Linked DNA regions of Drosophila melanogaster. The protein of the gene in region 3 interacts with the protein of the main gene of each other region in a pairwise test. Each region holds a gene or a part of one and is shown on either strand. Other genes may lie near its edges. The genes, in order: sw, Sdic3, tbrd-2 and jigr1.

What was found.
Region 1: the proteins of tbrd-2 (region 3) and sw interact in a two-hybrid assay, tested with the Drosophila melanogaster proteins (one large-scale study listed by BioGRID).
Region 2: the proteins of tbrd-2 (region 3) and Sdic3 interact in a two-hybrid assay, tested with the Drosophila melanogaster proteins (one large-scale study listed by BioGRID).
Region 4: the proteins of tbrd-2 (region 3) and jigr1 interact in a two-hybrid assay, tested with the Drosophila melanogaster proteins (one large-scale study listed by BioGRID).

The regions. Positions count from the first base shown.
Region 1 is NC_004354.4:20,233,185-20,238,178, forward strand, and holds the start of sw (short wing), read right to left. Parts: upstream 3,015-4,994; 5' UTR 2,899-3,014; intron 2,767-2,898; exon of another isoform or gene 2,620-2,766; intron 2,563-2,619; 5' UTR 2,480-2,562; coding exon 2,325-2,479; intron 2,251-2,324; coding exon 2,104-2,250; intron 1,719-2,103; coding exon 1,591-1,718; intron 1,207-1,590; coding exon 1,144-1,206; intron 260-1,143; coding exon 239-259; intron 1-238. UniProt on the Drosophila melanogaster protein: Acts as one of several non-catalytic accessory components of the cytoplasmic dynein 1 complex that are thought to be involved in linking dynein to cargos and to adapter proteins that regulate dynein function.
Region 2 is NC_004354.4:20,188,930-20,196,250, forward strand, and holds Sdic3 (Sperm-specific dynein intermediate chain 3), read right to left. Parts: upstream 5,299-7,321; 5' UTR 5,192-5,298; coding exon 5,142-5,191; intron 5,074-5,141; coding exon 4,946-5,073; intron 3,037-4,945; coding exon 2,860-3,036; intron 2,477-2,859; coding exon 1,554-2,476; intron 1,487-1,553; coding exon 1,163-1,486; 3' UTR 511-1,162; downstream 1-510.
Region 3 is NT_033778.4:19,257,942-19,262,806, reverse strand, and holds tbrd-2 (testis-specifically expressed bromodomain containing protein-2), read right to left. Parts: upstream 2,899-4,865; 5' UTR 2,743-2,898; coding exon 2,740-2,742; intron 2,686-2,739; coding exon 664-2,685; 3' UTR 513-663; downstream 1-512.
Region 4 is NT_033777.3:25,636,295-25,640,880, reverse strand, and holds the start of jigr1 (jing interacting gene regulatory 1), read right to left. Parts: upstream 3,039-4,586; 5' UTR 2,809-3,038; exon of another isoform or gene 2,352-2,808; intron 1,089-2,351; exon of another isoform or gene 928-1,088; intron 1-927.

The DNA.
Region 1 (4,994 bases), on a different chromosome or scaffold from region 3:
ACACTAAGCAAGTCAGAAAAACTCTAAGGAGCATAGATCGTGTTGTGGATAGATATTGAGCAAACTACACAAATACATAATGTGAGTATATAGAGAAGTTCAGCATAGAGAGGTTTCAAGGTAATGGTAATATATAGGACTACGGGTATAGATACGCTTCTTACGAGTGGCACACAGACCGCTACGGAGGCTGAAAAGTTCTAAGTACGGAATTACGCATACAACGAGGACTACTCACCATAATAATCCGTAGCATGAGCTGCAGTTTTTTTTTCGTGCGTGCCAAAAACAGTTAAGAGGGAAGAAAGAGAAAGTAAATAGACAAATTATTAAATGCGCTCGAACGGTTTACACTCTAATGATCTATGGGTTCGGATGTGGACATGGATGGATGTGGATGGAAAGATTGATGCTGGACAGCGGTGGCCATGCGGAAATGAGTCGAGACTGCGGCGTTAATGAAGCGAAACAAGGCCAATTGGTGTAATGCTTAGTGCTACCAATAACCTTTACAAAAACGCGACAAAAATTAAAGTAATAATTATAAAAAGGCGTGTTTAAAGAGGGGATAAACATGACACATTGCGTTGCAGTACCATTTACAACCTATATTTTTAAAAGTTCGGATTGAAGTGTTCAGATAGTGTGCTGAATATTGCATAGTATACAAAATAGTGACGAATGGTTTTTGAAATCGTGTCTGAGCTTTTCCAGTTTCGAACATTTATAAAATAAACTAACAAAAACAATTGCTGGGATAGATGGGCTAAATTGAGAGCACTGAAGGAACCAAAAACCAATAATGCGGATTGACCAAATCAAGAGAAATCTGTCATAAGATGATCAATCGACCAGAAACTACGTTTCTTGGGCATTGCAACCAAATTGGGCCGAGGCAAAGCAAAAGGAAGCTGTCTAAATTCAAGCAGTTAAGTAGATAGTCCACCGAATTGTCTACGCATGTACGATGCTGACATCCTTCTGCCTGCAGAGCCTTACAGCAAATTTAGACTAAGTCGTGTGGGCGCTTCACATGGAGCTCTTCGTGTATTCACATGTGTATGCCGCTTCGTTTTGTCACAATAACTTTCGTGTGCTGATGTGTGATTAGGTGTGGAGTTTGCTTAAAATTAAGATTAGTACCTTTACGTGGACGCCACCAGTCCTCCATATATCCTGACAGAGGCGAGGAGTGGCAAGAAAGAACTGTATTTGTTATTTTATTTCACTATGGATTATGGTTTCTGTTTGCATCTTTGTTTTTTTTCTCTGCTGGGAGGGACGGGAGTTGGGGGCACTTGATGGGGAACAAAGCGCGGAAACAGGGTCAGCATGCAGCGGTGTAAGCTAGCACCAGACAGAAAGGGAGAGTTTGGAGCACAGACATGGACAGAGAGAGTGAGAGGGACAGATAGATACACTGCTCCTCCGGCGGACGGTGACGGAGTCTGGGAAACAGCAGGGAAGCCAAACACATTTAACAACGAGACCAAGAATAAGAACGGTAACAGTAGCGAGAGATGGAGTCAAACTATGGATAGTGGTTACGGTAGAGCCCAACCAGATCCCCGCCCCGGGGGCAATACGCACCATCGCCGTTTCCGCCTCCGGTACTGGTCGTCTGGGTCTGCTTTGTGTAGACCAGTGTCTCTTTTGGTGGAATGTTCGTAGCCTGCACATTGTAGACGCTTAGGTTGAGGGGCTGTTTCTTTCCGCCGCTGGTGGGGGGTGCACATAAGAAATTGGTATTAGTTAGGAATCGGTTAAATGGCAATAGCAATAGTACAATACATTGATCGTTAAAACTTAATCAGTACTAAGCCCATTGTCTAATCTGTGTAATACTAATTTTTAAAACGGCTAATGCTAAAATTGAATTGTAAAAATTGCCACGCTCTCTAACCAGGATTCCAATTTTGACTACTGATATTTTTTTATGTTAAGCTTGTAGATGGGGAATCTGTCTCTACAGTTGTTTAGCAAAAAAAACTTAGGGAATCAAATGTCTATACCTATATGACCTGAATATGTCTAATATGCCCTGCGAACTTCTGCTTAAGATGGTAATTCTACTCACAAAGCTTTTGCTATGAACTGGCTTACCTCTGGCCATTGACAGTGGCTTGGAGGCTGGCGTCGGGGGTCTGTGTGTTCGAGTTGTCCGAAGTCATCGAGTTGACGGAGGAGAGTGAGGAAAGGACCTCGGAGACGGGGGCCACGCCCAGCGATGACAGCATTTCGTCGAGATCCCTGAAAGAGGCGAACGAAAGTTGGATGATGGCGGTGCTGAGTCAGCTCTGAGGAGAAGCTTATGGCAAACCCACTTGCGCTGATCCTTGTCGATGCCTGCTCCGCCGCCAATGCGACCGGCCGCCTCCTCCATGTCCTTGATCTCCTTCTCGCGACGCCGGCGATCCTTCTCCTCGCGCAGGGCGGCCAACTTGGCCTTCTTGCGTTCCAGCTCAGCCTTGCGATCCATTTCTCGGGGCGATTAGCTGCTGCGATTTGCTGTTCGAGTGGGCGTTCGGTACGGGACTCTAGATCTCTGGCGGGCCAAGTTCTCTGCAAGGGGGATGCATGATTAATGGTCGCCAATATTGGTAGCTTTGATGATGTCACCAACTGCTGGCCAGAAGCAAAGAAAGTGGGTGCGCTGTGTGGTTCTCCACCGCTCGCTTGGCGTGGCGCAGCCAACTCATATGTTCTCCTATCGCCAAGTGGAGCACATTTCCCGGTAACCCAGTGAGTGGCCGTCACTTTACTTTCCTTTGCTCGGCCAAAAAAAAAAAATCAATAATCCAGCGATTGGACTGTGACGTCTTTTCGCCCTGGCTGCGTTTTTCAACTTCCTTCTCTCACTGCTCTTGTGATTTTTCCATGAAATGCACAAAAACCCACCTCTTGACTGTCTTTACTCGTTGTTCGGCTGCTTTTTAAGTACTTAAATCATCATTTTTCAACAATGTAAAAATGCGACTGACTTTTAATGTTTTGACTAACTAGAGATGGAACATCGCCCACGGCCAGTTACTTCGCACAGTTATTGGCACACGAAGGAGATAATGGGCGCGGCTGGTTTACATAGATGCCCAAAGGGTGTGGAAGACTAGGATTCTTAGCGGGATTCCGAATTCTTAATTAACACAAGTTTAAACACAAGAATAAGATTTTACTACTGTACGGCGATAGCTGTGAACAGCTGTCGTGACAGCGATAGTTCCAGTCTTTCCATGCACTAGCGCAGCGATCTGGCAGCACTACTGCGTTTAGCAGAACGCTGTTAGTTACAGTTACATTTCACATACACTGCAACACACTTTATATTTATTAATATTTATATTTATTTATGGAAGAAATCTACAAATCATGCTTAAATAGAGCTTCAAACTGAATATATATATATATATATATATATATATATTATATTATATATTATTAATTATTAATTATTAATTATTAATATTAATTATAAATATATTAGATTAATATATAATTATATTACCATAATTAATAATAGGTAAAAAGTATGTTAATACAGAGATATGCCGCATTTTAAAATTGTTATGTTATAGGTGGCTTACAGTTATCATAAAAAAGTTTTGCACACTCACACACATGCACTATGAAATATCAGTGTTGCTTTCTGAAGCGTAACTTTTAATTTATAGATTCAAGAGAGGTATCTGTAGGTAAATTCGAATTGATACACAGTACCTTAATGATAATACACTGATGTCCCATATGCATACAAAATTAAATAATCCTTTTAGGTCTAAAATTCAGCTAAAATTAATGCCCACAACCTGTGCATTTGTTTGATTAAAATGCTGAGTGTGAAGTACTACAAAATGTAAAAATTAATTAATTAAGAAAGGTAAGCAAGACTATTCTTGTAAAAAATTACCAATACCGCTGAAATTCCCATAGTGACTCAAAACTACTGAGCTTACAAAATACGTTCAGGGTTCTGAAAGTATGTACATACATACGTATGTACATATGTATGTAGATATGTCGTGTTTTAATTGCCCCTCCAAAGTGCCAATTACATTCAATGCGCGTCTTTGGGCCAGTGAAATCACCAGAACCCGCCGTGGAAATAGAAAGCGCACTTAGGCGATGTGTCTTTCCACAATGTATGCCATAATTTGTGCCACCAATGCCAGATGTTGCTGCAACGCGGGGCGCAAAGCGAATCCAACAGTAGTACGTGCCTTCGGTCGTATCTGAATGTATCCGAAAGTATCTGAAAGTATCTGAAAGATACCGTATCCAAAGTGCCAAGGAAGAGGTTTTCATGGGGTTAAAGCGCCCATGAAACTTTTGGGGATTTTATTTCGATTCGATTTGGCGCATCTGCACATCTGCACATCTGAATTTAAATGCCAGCATTCGACGACCCAAAAACTGTAGTCCGAGTTGCTCGTTTCGTAACCGCATTGATAAACCGGACTCGAACTGGAATCGCTCCGATGATCCCCCATGCTGCAGTAAAAACCTTGAATTGCCAAATCTTCGACTGCTCAACTTTTTGCTCCAGGCCGACAAATCTTGCACATGGGCGGGAGTTGGCAAACCGATGAGCGGATACTTAATATCTTCGCTTTTTCCCCGCGCTAATTGCCAGGCCAAACCTGTCGCACCGAAGTCGAGATGCCAGCGCGATTAGTTTACAAATTAATTTGCCAATTGAATTTCAGATTTAGACGTCTGGCCGGGCTTCCAAGAACCACCTCCACCTGGTTTCCACATGGGATCGGGCGAGAGTAAAAGTGTATTGTTAATTAGCCACTACACGCCGCCAACCTAAACTAGTTTCCCAGCCCGTCTGGTTTGGCCGCATCTCCGATCTCCGATAGCTGATTATATTTTCATTATTTTTTATTTCTTTCCTACTCCGATCGGAGCGGATCGATCGCATCTCCCAAGGACAGCGGCTTTTGGGTCATTGCGTGGCCGCTTAGCATATTTATGCATATATTATGTACATATAT
Region 2 (7,321 bases), on a different chromosome or scaffold from region 3:
ATAACGTTCCATCTAACGCAGCTGGTCAGTGGACACGGTTGCTTTCGCAGATATGTGAAGCGCTTTGGACATGAGGAGGCGAATGATTGCCCATGGTGCAGAAGTAGATGGAGCGAAACAGCAGAGCACGTTCTCTTCTCGTGGGTTAAATATGCAAGGGAACGGAGCTCTCTGGAAACCGTACTTGGCAGCAGACTGACTGCGGATAACCTAGTCCCATTCATGCTGCAGGGTGATGCGAAATGGCAAGCGGTCAACAGCTTCGCCGCAGCGATAACCACCGAGCTCAGAAGAGCCGAGAGAGCCAGGAGGGTCTACGAGTAAGCAAATCCTGATCGTCCTCGCGAAGCAATGCAGCCATACCGCGGGGGGTCCTGGATTTGCCATCCTTACTGTTACATTGTTAATCTGTTAATCTTAAATAAACGAATTAAAAAAACAAACAAAATATCGAATAAATTCATTTCTGAGGGTTATATCCGAGCCAAATAATAGACATCTCTTTCTTATAGGTGTATATATAGATATTATGTTTATTTAATCTCGTTAAATAGGCTTCGCTATAATACATTTACATTTGGGCTCTTTCAGTTGAGGGGACGTAGCTCCATCTTCAGTCCTCGTACCTTCATTCCCAAGCCCCCACTTCCACGCTTAATACGTTGTTGTATATAATATGTAGCATTTAATTTATTTATGTGTTGCTTTCAGCCTGCCCGACAGTCGAATAAACAATAAACGATCTTTCTGCAATCTTGTTAGTTGCACTAATTTAAAATCAAGTATGAATCCTATTTGCAGTTCAGTTACCACCACCAATCAAATTTCCGGGGAGTCGGAATAGCCAATTTGGTTGCGATTTTTGGTGGGAACAGAACTGGGAAAATAGCTATGGAATGAAACCAATATTGAGTAACAAAATAATACAGTTACAGTTACAGTTACTGTGGTCATCTAGAGAATTTTGCAGTTTCCCCTGATTTCTTGGGGGCTTTGGAGTGATTCTGAGCACTTGGACTGCGGTTGAGTTTTGAGTTCTGGGCTATACACAGTAGCGGGATCACAAAAGATACAAAAATACAAATTAAATTTCATTCAAGGTCGCTCCTGTAAGATTAGCAAAAGTGGTACCGACTCTCAACTACCAGTTAACTATATCGTCCTAGACCTCATCGCTCTGGTTCATCTTGATCTCGTCGCGCGATGGCTGCGCCAGGTTCTCGGCCACGTCGTACACGTACAGCTTGCCGGCCTCGTCGCCGATGCACACGTGCAGACCGGATGGGGTCCAAGAGACGCGGTTAAGGGCTGGTGCTCCCGCCACGACAATCGAGGCGATCGGCACCTCCGTGTCTTGGTTGAGGTTCCACAGGTCCAGGCGACCGCTGCCGTCGACGGCGGCGAAGAGTGCGGGATGCACGGGCGACCAGGCGACGTCCATCACGTAGTCGGAGTTGTCCTCAAAGGAGTACAGCGGCTTTGTGTCCTGAAAGAGTGGGCATATTTGAATTAATTCCGGAGACGACAGAGAACTGGCAACTTGAAATGGGTACCTTTAGCGACCAGAGCTTGATGGTCCAGTCAATGGACGAGGTTAGGAAGAGGTGGCCAAAGTCCGGCGACAGCTGGTTGTAGTGCGTGGATATGCCAGTGATAGGGCCAAGATGGCGTTCGTAAACCTCGTTGACCCCGGAGCGCAGGCCGTGGCGCGAGGCGGAGTAGACGTAGCCGTCCTCACTGCCCATCACCAGGCTATTGATCTCGTTGGCCGGGAAGGCCATCGATGTAATGGCAATGGCCTTAGACTGGCGCTGCTGCAGCTCCAGCGTGTCCTGTGGTTGCGACAGCATGTCCAGCGACCAGGAGCACAGCTTGCCGTCCGAGGATATGGAGATGACGTTGTGCGCATTCTGGGTGCCCACCATTTGGAGGCAGTAGACGGGATGCGTGTGCGCCGCGGCACTGAGGGGCGTGCGCTGTATGGGCGTGCGCTTCTGCACGCGATTGTCCCACAGCACAATCTGGCCCGAATAGGTGCCGCCGAGGATCAGGTTGGGATTGAACTTGGCAAAGCAGGTGGACATCACCGCGCTCTGGCAGTGGAAGACGTCCTCGGGCGTGCTCTTCTTGAACTTGGTGTTCCAAACCATCACCACGCCGTCCGGCTCGTTCGGACTCTCCTCGTTGTTGTGGTACGAGCCCACCACCAGCTCGGGGAAGTGGGTGGACCAGTCCATGCTGGTGATGCAGCGGTTCTTCGACCAGCGCTCGTCGTAGAAGACGCGGTTCAGCGAGAGCCGCGCATGCGATCGCTCGTCGTTCGCCTCCTCGCTGTCGCCGCCGCCGATGTAGTCCGTGTATATGTCCACATTCTCCGAGAGGGCCCGTTCGATGACGCGGCCGGCACGCACCACGAACCGCTGGAAGTTCTCCGACAGTATGATCATCTGCTTCTGCTCCTCGGACAGCTCGTTGACTGGAGGAAAGATGGAGAGGAGGAATATTTGTGAATAGCTTCTTACTCAACATTTCCATGCGTGCAATGGAAATGCACGCGAATTCTTTAGCACTGATCTAAACAACATTTGAGCTTTTATTATTATAAAATGCATCAATGCAAATGCATATCATCATCATTTGGAAGCAAAACATAACAAAACCTTAAATATTAATAAATATTTTGCTAGCATTAACCAAACAAGAGAACAAACGAATGATTTTATAAGGTCTACTAATTAATAAAAAAATATCTGGTTGATAAATAAAAATAACAGTTAGTATAATGAAAGAAAGACTTTTTCATTAAGGGTGGGAATTCGAGAGAATGTAAATAGATGTCTATTCGACGTGGTGACTCACCCTCCTTCTTCACTTCAGTCTCCTTCTTGATCTCGAGTGGTGTGATGGCCGGGGCGACGTCCTTAACGGTGGGCAGGCCGTGGGTGAGATAGCCCGGTGGCAGCTTGGAGGTGAATCCGTTGCCCAGGTTCTGCAGTGAGCTCTCTTCGTCGTCTCCTTGGGCATCAAATGCAAGCACTGTTTAAGGTATAAAACTAACACAGCTAGAGGAACATGACAATCGACAGAACAGGAACAATTCTACTTTCGGCTCTGATTGATTCGATCTGATTCGATTTGGTTTTGAACTTATTTGAGTTTAGATTGAGTTATCATTACGCGTTCTTCTTCGTCTTCGTTTCGCTTGGCTAGGAACCGTAATTTTCTGAGACATTTGACTTTGTTTGTGGGGCTCATTGAGGCGGGATTGTGGGTTTCGGATTTTGGGGATTCGATGAAGCTCTTAGTGTAAGGGGGAAAGCGAGAGAGAGGGAGAGAAGGAGCATTGCAGTACATTTGTTCCTCTCGCCTGTCCTCGTCTTCTTTCGAGTGTGGCTGTGTGCGTGCGTGCATCACATCGGGGGAAAGGGATAGACATATAACGAATATATTACATATAAATTAAACAAGTTAAGGTTAACGGCTTATTGATCGATTCTATAATAGTGCTGTAATTGAAGAGGGTATCGGTTATCGGAATCAATAGCTGAGAGAGCGAGACAGGCAAAGGTCGCTCGCTGTCGAGTTTGCGTGAGAGTGCGTGAAATGGAGCAAGTCTAGCTTCCTGTCGCTGCTGCGTATTCGTTGTTTTCGATAAGTTTTGTTAGTGGTTAGGACATTGTTATCTCGGGTTTCAGGATGAATGACTGGGATTAGCAACACTACACACAATGAGGGGCGGGCAATGCAGTAGCATCAGCAGTCATGCAAATGTAGGATGTACACAAGCAGATGGATGTGGATTTGCATGTGGATGGACAGATTGATGCTGGACAGCGGTTGATATGCGGAAATGAGTGGAGACCAAGACCAAGACCATGACCAATTGGTGTAATGCTTGGTGATTCCTTGGTGCTTAAAAAAACGCGACAAAAATTAAAGAAAGTTTTTAGACTTCATAGGGGTGGACAGGAACGACAAAAGGATACTTATTTTTATAAAGTTCGGATTGAAGTGCTTAGATAGTGTGCCTAATATTGCATAGTAAACAAAATAGTGACGGATGGTTCCTCAGATTTTTAAAATAAATTAACAAAAACAATTGCTGGGATAGATGGGCTAAATTGAGAGCACTGAAGGAACCAAAAACCAATAATGCGGATTGACCAAATCAAGAGAAATCTGTCATAAGATGATCAATCGACCAGCAACTACGTTTCTTGGGCATCGCAACCAAATTGGGCCGAGGCAAAGCAAAAGGAAGCTGTCTAAATTCAAGCAGTTAAGTAGATAGTCCACCGAATTGTCTACGCATGTACGATGCTGACATCCTTCTGCCTGCAGAGCCTTACAGCAAATTTAGACTAAGTCGTGTGGGCGCTTCACATGGAGCTCTTCGTGTATTCACATGTGTATGCCGCTTCGTTTTGTCACAACAAGTTTTGTGTGCTGATGTGTGATTAGGTGTGGAGTTTGCTTAAAATTAAGATTAGGACCTTTACGTGGACGCCACCAGTCCTCCATATATCCTGACAGAGGCGAGGAGTGGCAAGAAAGAACTGTATTTGTTATTTTATTTCACTATGGATTATGGTTTCTGTTTGCATCTTAGTTTTTTTTCTCTGCTGGGAGGGACGGGAGTTGGGGGCACTTGATGGGGAACAAAGCGCGGAAACAGGGTCAGCATGCAGCGGTGTAAGCTAGCACCAGACAGAAAGGGAGAGTTTGGAGCACAGACATGGACAGAGAGAGTGAGAGGGACAGATAGATACACTGCTCCTCCGGCGGACGGGGACGGAGTCGGGGAAACAGGAGCGCAGGGAAGCCAAACACATTTAACAACGAGACCAAGAATAAGAACGGTAACAGTAGCGAAAGATGGAGTCAAACTATGGATAGTGGTTACGGTAGAGCCCAACCAGATCCCCGCCCCGGGGGCAATACGCACCATCGCCGTTTCCGCCTCCGGTACTGGTCGTCTGGGTCTGCTTTGTGTAGACCAGTGTCTCTTTTGGTGGAATGTTCGTAGCCTGCACATTGTAGACGCTTAGGTTGAGAGGCTGTTTCTTTCCGCCGCTGGTGGGGGGTGCACATAAGAAATCGGTATTAGTTAGGAATTGGTTAAATGGCAATAGTTATAGTACCTCAAAGTAGAATACGTTGATCGTAAAAACTTAATCAGTACTAAGCCCATTGTCCAATCTGTGTAATACTAAGCTTATTCAATTTAAAAAACGGCTAAAGCTAAAATTGTAAAAATTGTGTTTGGATTACAATGCTCTCTAACCAGGATTCCAATTTTGACTACTGATATTGTTTTGACGTTAAACTCATAGATGGGGAATCCAAGAGAATTTCCCCCAGAGGCACACTACGATCAAAGCTATTAACACGAATAAAATATTGGGCGGACCAGCTGCCACATCCTCGGGCCTAGGCGGATCCAAGTAGGGCTGTCAGGGCCCGCTTGTAGTCACCAGAGGTCTCCGCCTGGAAAGTAAAGAAAGGAACGTATTGAAGCGAGATCCAAGTTCTTGCTTTTTTGGCTATGCCCTCTACACTACAATTACTACTTTGCCCGAAAATACTTTTTTGGCAAGCCAATAATGAGATATCGAAAAATGCCCAAGAACCAGTTTGCTTCGGCGTTCTTAGAAATAATTTGATGGGGATTTTGGCAGCATATGTAGCGTAAAAGGAGCACTTGATAGCGTGGAGTAACCAAGACCAGGAATGCATCCGTTTCACCAATGGCGTGGCCAATACTTACGTCCTAGGACAACACAAACACCGCAACAAATACCGACAAGTACGTGAAGAGAAGGGGAAAGGGGTGCGTTAACCATGTGCGAAGCACTTGCGATTCTTCGAGATCCACTTACCACCACGGCGCTGTGCAGCGTACGGTTGTAGATCCGCTCGAACTCCTGCTTAATGGTCTCCAGGTCGATCTCCGAGCGGCTGACGATGATGCGGATGAGCGTGGCGTCATCGGTGCCGGCGCCATTCATGGCCTTGTACAGGCGGTTGGCGAAGAAGGCCGCCGGTGACTGGACGCACTCAACTAAAAGGTTAAGAAGTGTGTCATTTAACCAAGTGTCTGTTACAACAATTACTTATAACGGAACAGTTAAATATGTATATACTGACCTATGGCCATCATGGCCTCGTGCAGCTCGTCGGACATCTCGTGCTTGATGGCCTGCTCGATGGTCTGCCCGGAGAGCTCCTTGTACTCCTCGAAGACGAGTCGCAGCTGCGGGAAGCTGGCGTGCGACATGATCCGGTTGAAGACCTCCTCGTCCGTTCCCAGCTTGGCCTCGCCGGCCGAGTAGAGCTGGGCGGCCTGCTCCTTGGCCTGACCGACGTCGACGGGCGTGTCCAGTCCGTCACGCACTCCAGATCAGATCATTTACACATATAACATTTCACATGCCAGATCAAGGAGCTGGAGCCACGCCAAAGATGCTTCAGATGTCTGGAGGAAGGCCACATAGCGGTCCATTGTAAAAGCACCGTCGACAGAAGCCAGTGCTGCTTCAAATGCGTGACCGCGGGACACAAGGCCTCCGAGTGTCCTAACGAAGCTAAGTGCTTCTTGTGCGCAAGCAGAGGAACCCAAGCGACCAACCACCAAATGGGCACCCGGAAGTGCCCATTGGCGGGAAAAGGAGCACCAAAGGCACTGCAATGATGCTTTTGATTCAGCTAAACCTGAATCACTGCACTGCAGGCCAAGACCTGCTAGTGCAGACGGTGCGCGAACGCAGAGTGGAGCCCGACCGCTCCAAGAAAGCAGCGATCTGGAGGTGCAGCAGAGAAGCCCAACAATTAACAGATGTTCTTTCGGACATCGGATTTGTTAGGGCTAGGGTAGGCAGATGGTGGGTGTACAGCTTATACCTAGCCCCCAGCCTGACCTTAATCGCAATTAGTCGGGCATTAGATAGACTGGCAGCGGACGCTAGAGGCCGCACCCAGATTCTTATAGCGGGCGACTTCAACGCAAGGTCAGCGAGCTGGGGCAGTTGAACCACCAACGCGAGAGGCAGGATGGCGCTGGAGGCATTAGCGACGTTGGACCGGGCTCTTCTAAACCATGGAAACCGGCACATGTTCAGGCGCGCCGGACTGGGCTCTGTGGTGGACCTCACCTTCACTAGCGGCTCGTCGTTCACGCTAACGAGGTGGAGACTCAGCGAGAGTTACACTGGCAGCGACCACTTGGCCATCTTTTGCGACCTGGGATGCCCTCCCTCGTCCGAAGCCCAGATAGCAGCCCAAGCCAGGTTAAAATACAAGACGGACACTCTGGACACGCAGG
Region 3 (4,865 bases):
TCGGGCCGGGCCGCAGGACTCAGGTGTGCGAGCGTGTCGGCATGCTGTGAACAAGGCGCCGTCCACTGTGCCCGTAATTAACCCCTGTCTCTGTGGCATTTCCCTTTTTCCATCCCATTTTCACTTTCGTTTGCATCCGAGTTCTTTTGGCAGTTTCGCAATGCGAGTTTCCTTATGCAAATGAGAGTGCATCCTCGCCCTTCCCTTTATATTCGCCAAGTGAAAATCTTATGCAAATTTCCTTGGCTGTGAAAAACTCCTTCCGCCGCGAGATACAGGATCTGCGTGATCTCCGCTCTAATTTGACTGCTGGGTGTCAGGTACTGCGAGCATCGTTATCCTTTTTTGGCTGCGATCGTGAGAAAGTTCGGAAATTTGCATAATTTTTCGTGAAAATTTTGCTGGTCTACGTGATCGTTGCAAAGACAGTAGAGATTGGAGATGCTAAATCTCTGATCGCAATTTCCCAAGCTCTTAGGAAATAATGAATTACAAACATATTAATTTTTTTTAGTTTCTTGTCCAACCATATATGTACACATGAATGTGTAATATAGGTGTTTACAGTTTTTATTTTCTTATATTTGGGATATTTGTAGTGAAACCCCCCTTTTTTTTACATATACATAAAATGCAAGAATTCATAAGACTTCTTTATGAGGATTAGGCCCTCAGCTGTCCTTCGGGTACATTGGGGACCACTTCAACGTCAGAGGAATCGTTGGACTCGGAGCTGTTGTTCGAAGATGAACTGGAACTGGAGCTTGATCTGGAGCGCGACCCTGAGCTGGAGCCAGCGTTGGAGCCAGAGCTAGAACTAGAGTTAGATCTAGAGCTGGCGCTGGAGTTTGACCTGGGTCTCAACTTGGTGTCGGACATGGACCTGGACCTGGACCTAGAAAGTCTGCCGGACTTGGATTTCATTTCCGACTCGCTGCTGCTGCTGCTGCTCATCTGGAGTTCGACAACGTGTGGCAACTTGGGGGGGGATCTGATGGGTTGCATTTGCAAAGGATTACTATTTATTGGGAGATTCCTCATTGGAGTGCCACCAATAGCCGACAGTTTTACCGGAGCGGAGACGTCATCGTCGCTGGTATCGCTCAGATTGTGAGTCTCAACAACACCTGCTCCCAATTGTGGAGCCATTACATTAGCCTGTAGCGGCTTCAATTTGGCGGTTAGCGGAGCAGTTGCTCTCTTACGCACCACGTTATTGGCAGTGTTGTTTTTATTCCTGAAATTGATCAAGGGACCACATCGGCGACGATTTTTGTTGAGCATCCGTGTAATGTTCACCAGCTGCGACTGCAGTGCCCGCTGAAGTCCTTCCTTTTCCGAAGGCTGCATGTCCTTGAGCTTCAGCTTGCTATGGGCCCTAGTTGCCTTGGTGACGGCACTTTTCATCATGATCATAGTATCCGTGGCGAGACCTTTGACATCGAAGCTCAGATCTCCACAGTTCTCTGAGGAAAATCCTTCGATTTGCTGGACCATGTGAATTATCTCCTTCATGGCGTTTGTCGGAAGCTTGGCAAATAATTTCTGTGTGGCACATCGATCCGCGTCAGTGATACGCATTGAGGCATCGATAGCTTCATCATCTGAGGATTCAATGCTAACTGCCATGAGGTTATCTATTTCATTTCCACTTAACAACTCCATAGCTGGCTTAAATTCGCCTTGGACCAAATCCGTTTCCTGCTCGGGGCTCATCTTCTGTCGTTTGCTAGATGATGGGTTTGGAGAATTTCGTTGACCTGCCTCCATTTTGTTTATCATCTTGTTTAAGGTGTCACAGAAAGTCTCCACCAAACTCTTGGCTGTCAGAGGTTCCCCGGAACCGGGCATTTGGACGCACTGCATCAAGCTATTTACCGTTAACTTGGCGGCAGCCAGTAGTTCATTTAGATCTGCGGCATTCAAAGCAGATTCCAGCGATGAGTTTCCATTCATGGAAGTACACCAAGCCGCCGGCTGATTAAAGACTCTTTCGTAGAGGATTTTAGCCGGTTCGTGGTACTTTCTAAAGCAGCCATCCACATGCAAGCAAAATTCATTGACAGACTTGAAGTACTGGCGATCAACTTTCTTTTGCAACGAATCCCACTTGTTACTGAAGAAATTGCGCGTCATGGCATCTGTCTGATTGGTGATGCTCTGCAACTTCTTCAATAATTCCCGGCACTTGCGTTCCGTCTGCGCGGAACTAGGAGCATTGGTCCTAGGCCTGCCCACCGCCTTGGGATCCCTATTGCAGGGCACCTCTGGACCAGACGGCATGCCTCGGAGTTTCTTGTGAAAGAACTTCTCCAGCATCTGGCCCTTGCGGTAAACGACATCGCCGGATCGATTGAATAGGAAGCAATTGCTAATAATTTGCTTGAAATCGGCAATCGCTTCATTGACAGATTTATAGTAGTTGTTCTGAACTCTTTTCACAATGGTACCGATATCCATGGGACGATGGATAACCGTGTAGTATGTGGGCACCATCAGAGCCTCCGTGTCCACGGGCTCCAAGAAGTCCAAGGCATACTTCTTCTTGCGAGCCTCGTCGAGCAAATGCTTCTTGAAGTAATGCAACTTATTGGTATAACGACCCGCCATTCCGGGATGCGGTATAAACTCGGGTTGGACACGATTTGGGAGTTTTAGTTTTACGGAAAGCGGCTTGCAAGATGCCTGCCAATAGAATGATTTGTAGAAATTCGCGCAGTGAATAGCTTACGAACTCACCATGCTAGAGATATATTTTTCAGTTACTGGTTACTGGTTGTTCGTTTGTTTCGATTTTTGAAAACGTGTCTCTTTCAATTTTACACAAATATAAACTCGAATTTGACTACGATTACGATTGAGTTTTGGGAACACTTTTGCCGTTCGACCGTCCGCTTTCAGGAACAAATTTTTGTGATGGAAAAACACATATCACCGCTCAGCTGTCCTATTTTGACAAGTGAAGTAATTGCACAGCCTACTGCCATTTAGAAATCACTAGCATGAAAGTTTCGAAAGTTCTAGTCAGGGATGCCAAGACATTGCATTTAAATATGCGGCAACCCCTAGGATTTTGCAAAAGTGAAAGTCACTATTAGAACATTCGTTTATTTTAAAATCCTGCCTATTCTTAAGCCCTCGATAAGCAGCAGTGCACCAATTATAGGCTGGTTGATCAGAAAGACACCGAAACTAAAGCAAACAATGGCACATCAAAGGGAATGGAGGCAAACATCCAACCACCCATACCACCCACCACCACACCCGACCGGCCCCATCCACTGAATATTTATAATAATTTGCACCACTTCAGAGGCTTTCAGCGTTTTGTACCCCACCTCCCGGTTGGAAAATGTGGCAATGGGACATAAAAACTGCTTTTTGCAATTTACATCAACATTTTTATCACCCCACCACCCATCGGCACATCCCACCACCGACAACCTTCAAGGAGTACAGCAACAACAACACGCTTTTCCTATTTGCATACATATGTAAGTGTGTCCCATAAATACAGATATACGGCCACGCCCCTCACCGCCGCCCACCACGACAGCCTCCTGCGTCTTTTTGCGCACTTAATTACACACGCATACGCTTCATTCCACTTTGCGGTGCTGCTTGTCTAGGCATACGAGCCACCCAACCAGCCAAACCACCCACCCAACCAGGCACCCACTGGAGGACAGGAAGGACTCCGCAACCATTTGCGAACCACCGCGGTGGGACAGGCCCACTACGGAAATAGACACGGGGCACACTCCGGAAAAATCGTACAAAATGGAGGTCATCACTGTAATCCCAATCGATAATGCAAATTAACAAGGAGTCGTAAAAATTATGAACTTGAATATGGGCAAAATTAATTGCAAAATTATACAAACTAATTCCCATCGTAGATATTACGATATTATTATATAATATTCCTAAATATCATATGCTTCTATGTTTCACAGTGTTCGCAGTACAGTCCTGCGATTGTCGTCCTATATCCTTGACTAAGGACTTTTCGTGCTGCAAATTTGTTGCTCTTTAGGCAATGGCACTCACAGAAAGGACCACTCACGGAATCGCTGGAGACGCAGAATGCCCGGCTATCGCAGGTTCTACCTGCCTGGGCCAAGGTGTCAATATTGCGTTATCATCCCGGGACTTTGAGTCCCAGCTCCGATCCCAGATCCCCGACCCCTGACCACTGAGCCCTTAGCCCTCTCACCCCGGCAAACGTCCACGTCCTTGGCCATTCTTTCGTTAATTTTATCTCTGACGGCGATTAATGCGAATAAATTTTATAGACGAAAATGTGCACTCGCATGTCCCGTCGCCGAGTTATCCTCTTTTGTGTGTGCGTGTTTTCCCTGGGACCTTTTCCCCCGCCACCGCTCGGCTAGCATTTTCCTTGGTTTTCCTACGTTTTCCTCTTCGCCCCCTGCCTTTGGCTAATGTTTTTTTACTGACTTTCTGTGGCCATTGTGCACCGCCTGTGTTTTGGAGTATGTGACTTTTGCTGTTTGTCTTCGGCACCTGCAGACCTGCAGTTGTTAATTGTTCGATGCCCGGTGCTTACGCGATCTTGCAGCTCTCAGGATCCCGACGAATCCGATTCCGATCCCTCGGCGATTCACCATTCTCCCTTCTCCCTTCCCTTCCCTTTCCGTCCGATTTTATATTTATTTTTTTAGCAATTGCCGCTGACTCAGCATCCGTGGAGAGCGTGGAAACTCGTAGTCTCAATGCCCCCAACCAACCCTCAATTAGGATAGGGCTCGGTATGGAAACAGCAGGTCCAGGTCCAGGTACAGGCTGTCCAGAGCGGAGATACAAGTTACAAGATGATACAAACAGGTTTCCCATTTTCTTAACCC
Region 4 (4,586 bases), on a different chromosome or scaffold from region 3:
ACTTTTGGCGTATTTAGAACAGCAACAACAACAAACAGCGGCAAAAAAACAGAAATATCAAGATAAAAATATTTTTTCGGGCGGCCCTTTGTGGCTCTTCGATGGGACAGTGGCTACACTGCCAAATATTACCCAGTCATAACGGTCAAATAAGATAATTAATAACCTCGCCAAATTTGAATAAATAATTACATATAAATTGAATAGACTGGAACCTTGAAACTATCTTTGCACCTATCAAAGTGATTTTAGTTAAGGTATGTCATGTCAATATTAGTCTTGATTGTTTCCGGTGTATTGGCCCGCCTAAACCAAGTATTTGCTGATTGCGGCTTTGTTGTTGTTATTGTCGTGGCGCGTCTCAAGTCTGGAGTCGTCTCTTTGGGCTCTCTTAAGGGATCTTCTTCTGGGATCTGGGACTTCCTCCCTCCACACACGCGTTTTGAATTCGATTTGCTGATTGCCGTTTGCTTCTTGGCGAGATTTCGATTTCGTCGGCAACAACAGCAACGACGAGCCTCGACCATGAAACAATTTTATATTTTTGTGCAGAAAAAACGAAGATCAATAAAATTTTACCGACAACTGTATTTCGCTCAGACATCGGAGTATAGGGCCCTAAAATTAGTGACCAAATTGTCAAAGTGTGGGCTTTTGGGAGGGGGTGTGGGTCACATTTTTGGTTACAGTAATCAGGACAGAATCGAGCAAAAAGAAATTGAAACTAAGCAGCTGGTAAAAATTTGATCTTAATTTTTTGTGCGCTTCGGTTTTGTAGACTCCGAAAGAGCTACAAAACAAAGTGTTGAAATTTATTTAGGGAATGTGGAGCTTTGTTGCGTTAGAAGGTTATGTTCACTCCATGGGAAACTAATGTGGCAAAAGACAGATTGGGACTGATTGATATGGACTACGATAAATGCTTACATGACCCATGAATTGTTATAATTAATAGTATAGGAAAGAAATGAGTGTATAAATAATATTTCACATCAAGAAAGTAGTTTTACTGCAGCATTTTCCTTGATTTCCTATTATCTACATTTGAGTTGAAAAGGTCCAGAAGTTTTGCCTATCAACTGTGAACTAAAAACACACAAAAAGAAAGTTGCCCCTAGGCCTTGTGCATAATTCTGTAGAAAAGCGAGAAACAAGGAGGCTTTGTAAAAAATGGGGATGAGAAGAGAGGGCGCCGTGTGAGTTCCTGCAGAATCCGCTGCAAGAAAGGTGCTCCAACAACAACAAAAACAAAAATGGCAATTCCCAGAAACGAGAGTGTGTGGGAGGTGGAGAAGGTGAAGATGGAGAATTCTTCCAAAGGAGCAAGAAGAGCAAAGAATAGGGGCCGTCACTAATGAATTTGTATGCAGAGACCGCAATGATTTGGCACAAAAACAAAAGCAACAGTAACGGAAATGCGAGGATTAAGAAAAAAAAGGAAAACGCGGGTCCAACGAACAACATTTTGTGAAATTAGTGCAGACAGTCGAAAAACGCACCTTTTATGTTTTGTAGCCTCTCTTCACATTTTACGATTGCCAGTTGTTTCTTTTTCCATGATTTTTGATTTATGCAAAAGCAATAAAAATTATTATAATGAAGGCGCTGACATGGCTGATGGCCAGAGCAAAAAGCGTGCACTGAGAGAAATAGCTTATACGAATCATCATCAAAGTTCGTCAAAATGATTATTCAATCAATCGGTTTCTTGAAGAAAGTGTGAAGATTTTGAAAAATAAATAAGTTATCCTGGTTTAATATTTAGTTTAAATACTTTTTAAAAACTACAACTGCCATTCTAATTTAAATTAAGATCCTCACATTTTATGTCTGTGTAGGCGAAGAACAGAGTTGGCGACACGTGATGATGGTAGGGATAAGGAGAAGAACTGGGGGCGATGACGATGCTTATGTTCCTTGTCCGTTACTTTAACTTTACTTGCTCTTTCTCCCGCACTGGGGCTCATGTTAAAAAACAAATAAAAGTTCAACAAAAAAGAGCGCGAAGAGAATGAGTCAGAATGTTTGTTTGACTTCTGCACAAAGAATGGCTTCTTATTTCTTTGTGCTTCTGCAAAAGCACATGTAAATAAATCAAAAGGCGACAGGAAAATCGCCATTTTCCCCGCCTATATGCACAATCATTTGGGCGCAAAAAGACTTTTTAGCAGAGCGCTTTAGTTTAACTTCCAACTATTAGCTATTTTGATGGTCAGCATAAATTCTTCACCTTTTTGCCGTAATTATCTGCAGGAGAGAGTCACTCCTCGCGGCTGCGCCCAAAAACGGTTAAACATAAAAAAACTAACGGCAGTTTTATAACGCTGGTCTTGGGAACTTGGGGAGATTACCTTTTGGGAGGCTGCGCCAAAAATGAGCGGAAAATGCCCGCAAAAAGAGTGGGCGCTCAGAGATCCCCGAAGATGATACACAAGCAATCAAAAGAAATGCAACGGCCTCATCGCGCTCCTCATCCTTCTTCTCCTCCTTCCTCCTCTATTCCATCTTCACCCATTTCTTCCTGCACTTGCCGATGCACCGTTACGCGGAGTTGAGCCCGGGTTCAAGATCACCGCACCCAGCCAAATGTTTTTTCTGTTATTTTTTCCTTGATTTTTTCGGGCGCATTCTCCGCCTTGTCTCTTTGCACTTTTACACAGATTCTTTGGGGGATATTTCGTCGGTTTATGATGTTTCTTTTCCTTTAGTTGGTGTTTTTCTATTTTTTTTTTTTTGTGAGGGCACTTGGGACTAACGGTTCTGTTTGGTGAAGTTAACAAATAAAAGTAGCGCGCGCACTCAACTCACCGACAAACAAACACAAGCGCACAAAAATGTTTAACACACCATCGTCGTGCCGGAGGCTCAAGGCTTTAACTTCCTCGATCCGCAGTAACTTGGTCACTTTTTACTTTTATTTCTTTTGATCAGTAGTAGTCAGGAGTTGGAAGGCTCTTTTGAGACACAACCGTCGCCGCCGATGGATTGCGCGCAATTGAATTTCCTCCACAGCGGCGACTCAGCTCGTCGCCTCAACGAAAACGACTTCAGAACTCAGACTCGAATTTCTCTGCCGACGCCGGCAGAAGCAGCGGCTGCAAAAAGGAACGCAGCTCGCAGGGGTGGCAACTTTTAGATACCTACTACCTGCCTTTTAAGGGGCATAGAATGTATAAAGTAACACTTCAAGTCGTGGAGTCTGACGTTAGCTAGACATAAAATATAACAACTTAAGTATACATACATATGTGTATAAATTATACTTTTGTTTAAGGATTTTCATAGTGTATTGGTTTAAATTTAAATGCAGAATAAGATGCATAGCTATATCCTTAGCAACTCGTATGAACTCTCTTACTCTCGAAAAATAAAGGGTACCTCGATCTTTGTTCGCTCTCTGCGCCGAATCGCTTGATACTCTCCCAGAAAGGACCAAAGGTTTCCCTAACAAGGCTTCTGGAATGTCGTAGAACAGGGGGATGTTATGTCATACGAGAAAGAGACTGTCTAAATAAGGATGCAGCCACTGATTTTGAAGGATTTCAAAAGCCTCACCTAATAGATTTTTTTAGGATACTTCTAGAATAATTTATAATATATTTTTAAATTTAAGAGACATATTTAGATATGGAAAGTTCTGCGTAAAGGATACACTTTAAAAGATTTAATGTATATTTATGAAAGCAAATTCATTGCTGACTTACTATAGGTACATATCCCAACATCAGCAATTGTATCCTTCCGAATGCATAGAAGATCCCCTAGAAGCCCAAAAAAGAAGTTTTAACTAAGACTTAAAGCCCAAAAAATGTTGTCCGTCGAGTGAGGCCTTCTGTCAGCTAATGATCGCCCAGAGCAGGCTGGTAAAAGTTGCGAACCTTGGGCCCGGGGACAACTCCATTAGGGCGGCCCACATTCGGTGGCCAGTTGGGTTTACATTTGGTTGGCGAGCAGGTGCATCGGCGGCAAGAGTGCGACCGAGAGTCGCGAGGAAAGTTGCGGCGCGTGGCTAGAGATCGATGAAGAAACCAGAAGACGAAGACCCGCGCTGCCCGCATATCGCGCATCAGGACAATCGCTGAGGCACGAGGCATGTCCGGACACATCTGGAGTGGCACAGAGTCTCATAGTCACACCTTGAGCAGAGCTGATCGCTTAGCTATGAAAAAGATACCATGAAATTTATTACATTTCTTTCAACCAGATCCTTTTTAAGCTTGATCAAAGAACTAAGAACTATAAATCAATTAATGGCATTTAAGATCATTTGTAAGATCAATAACATATTTCGAAAATGAAACCAACAAAGGATTTAAGTTTACTAACTTTTTATTCGGCTTGTAATTGTGCTTTATGCTTATCTTCAATGTGTCTGTACTTATATAATGAGGACGGCTAATATTTCAGCTTTTTTGCAGCGCAGCATAAGAGTCGCAATTTAGCATAAATGAAAACTGAACTGAGATCGCCGATGGCCAGGGCATCATTAAACACATTAACAGACAACAGACGATGGCGATGGCAGGTGATGCCAAACAGAGACAGGTTGGCAAACTGACTGAGTGGCTAAATGACTGACGGTATGA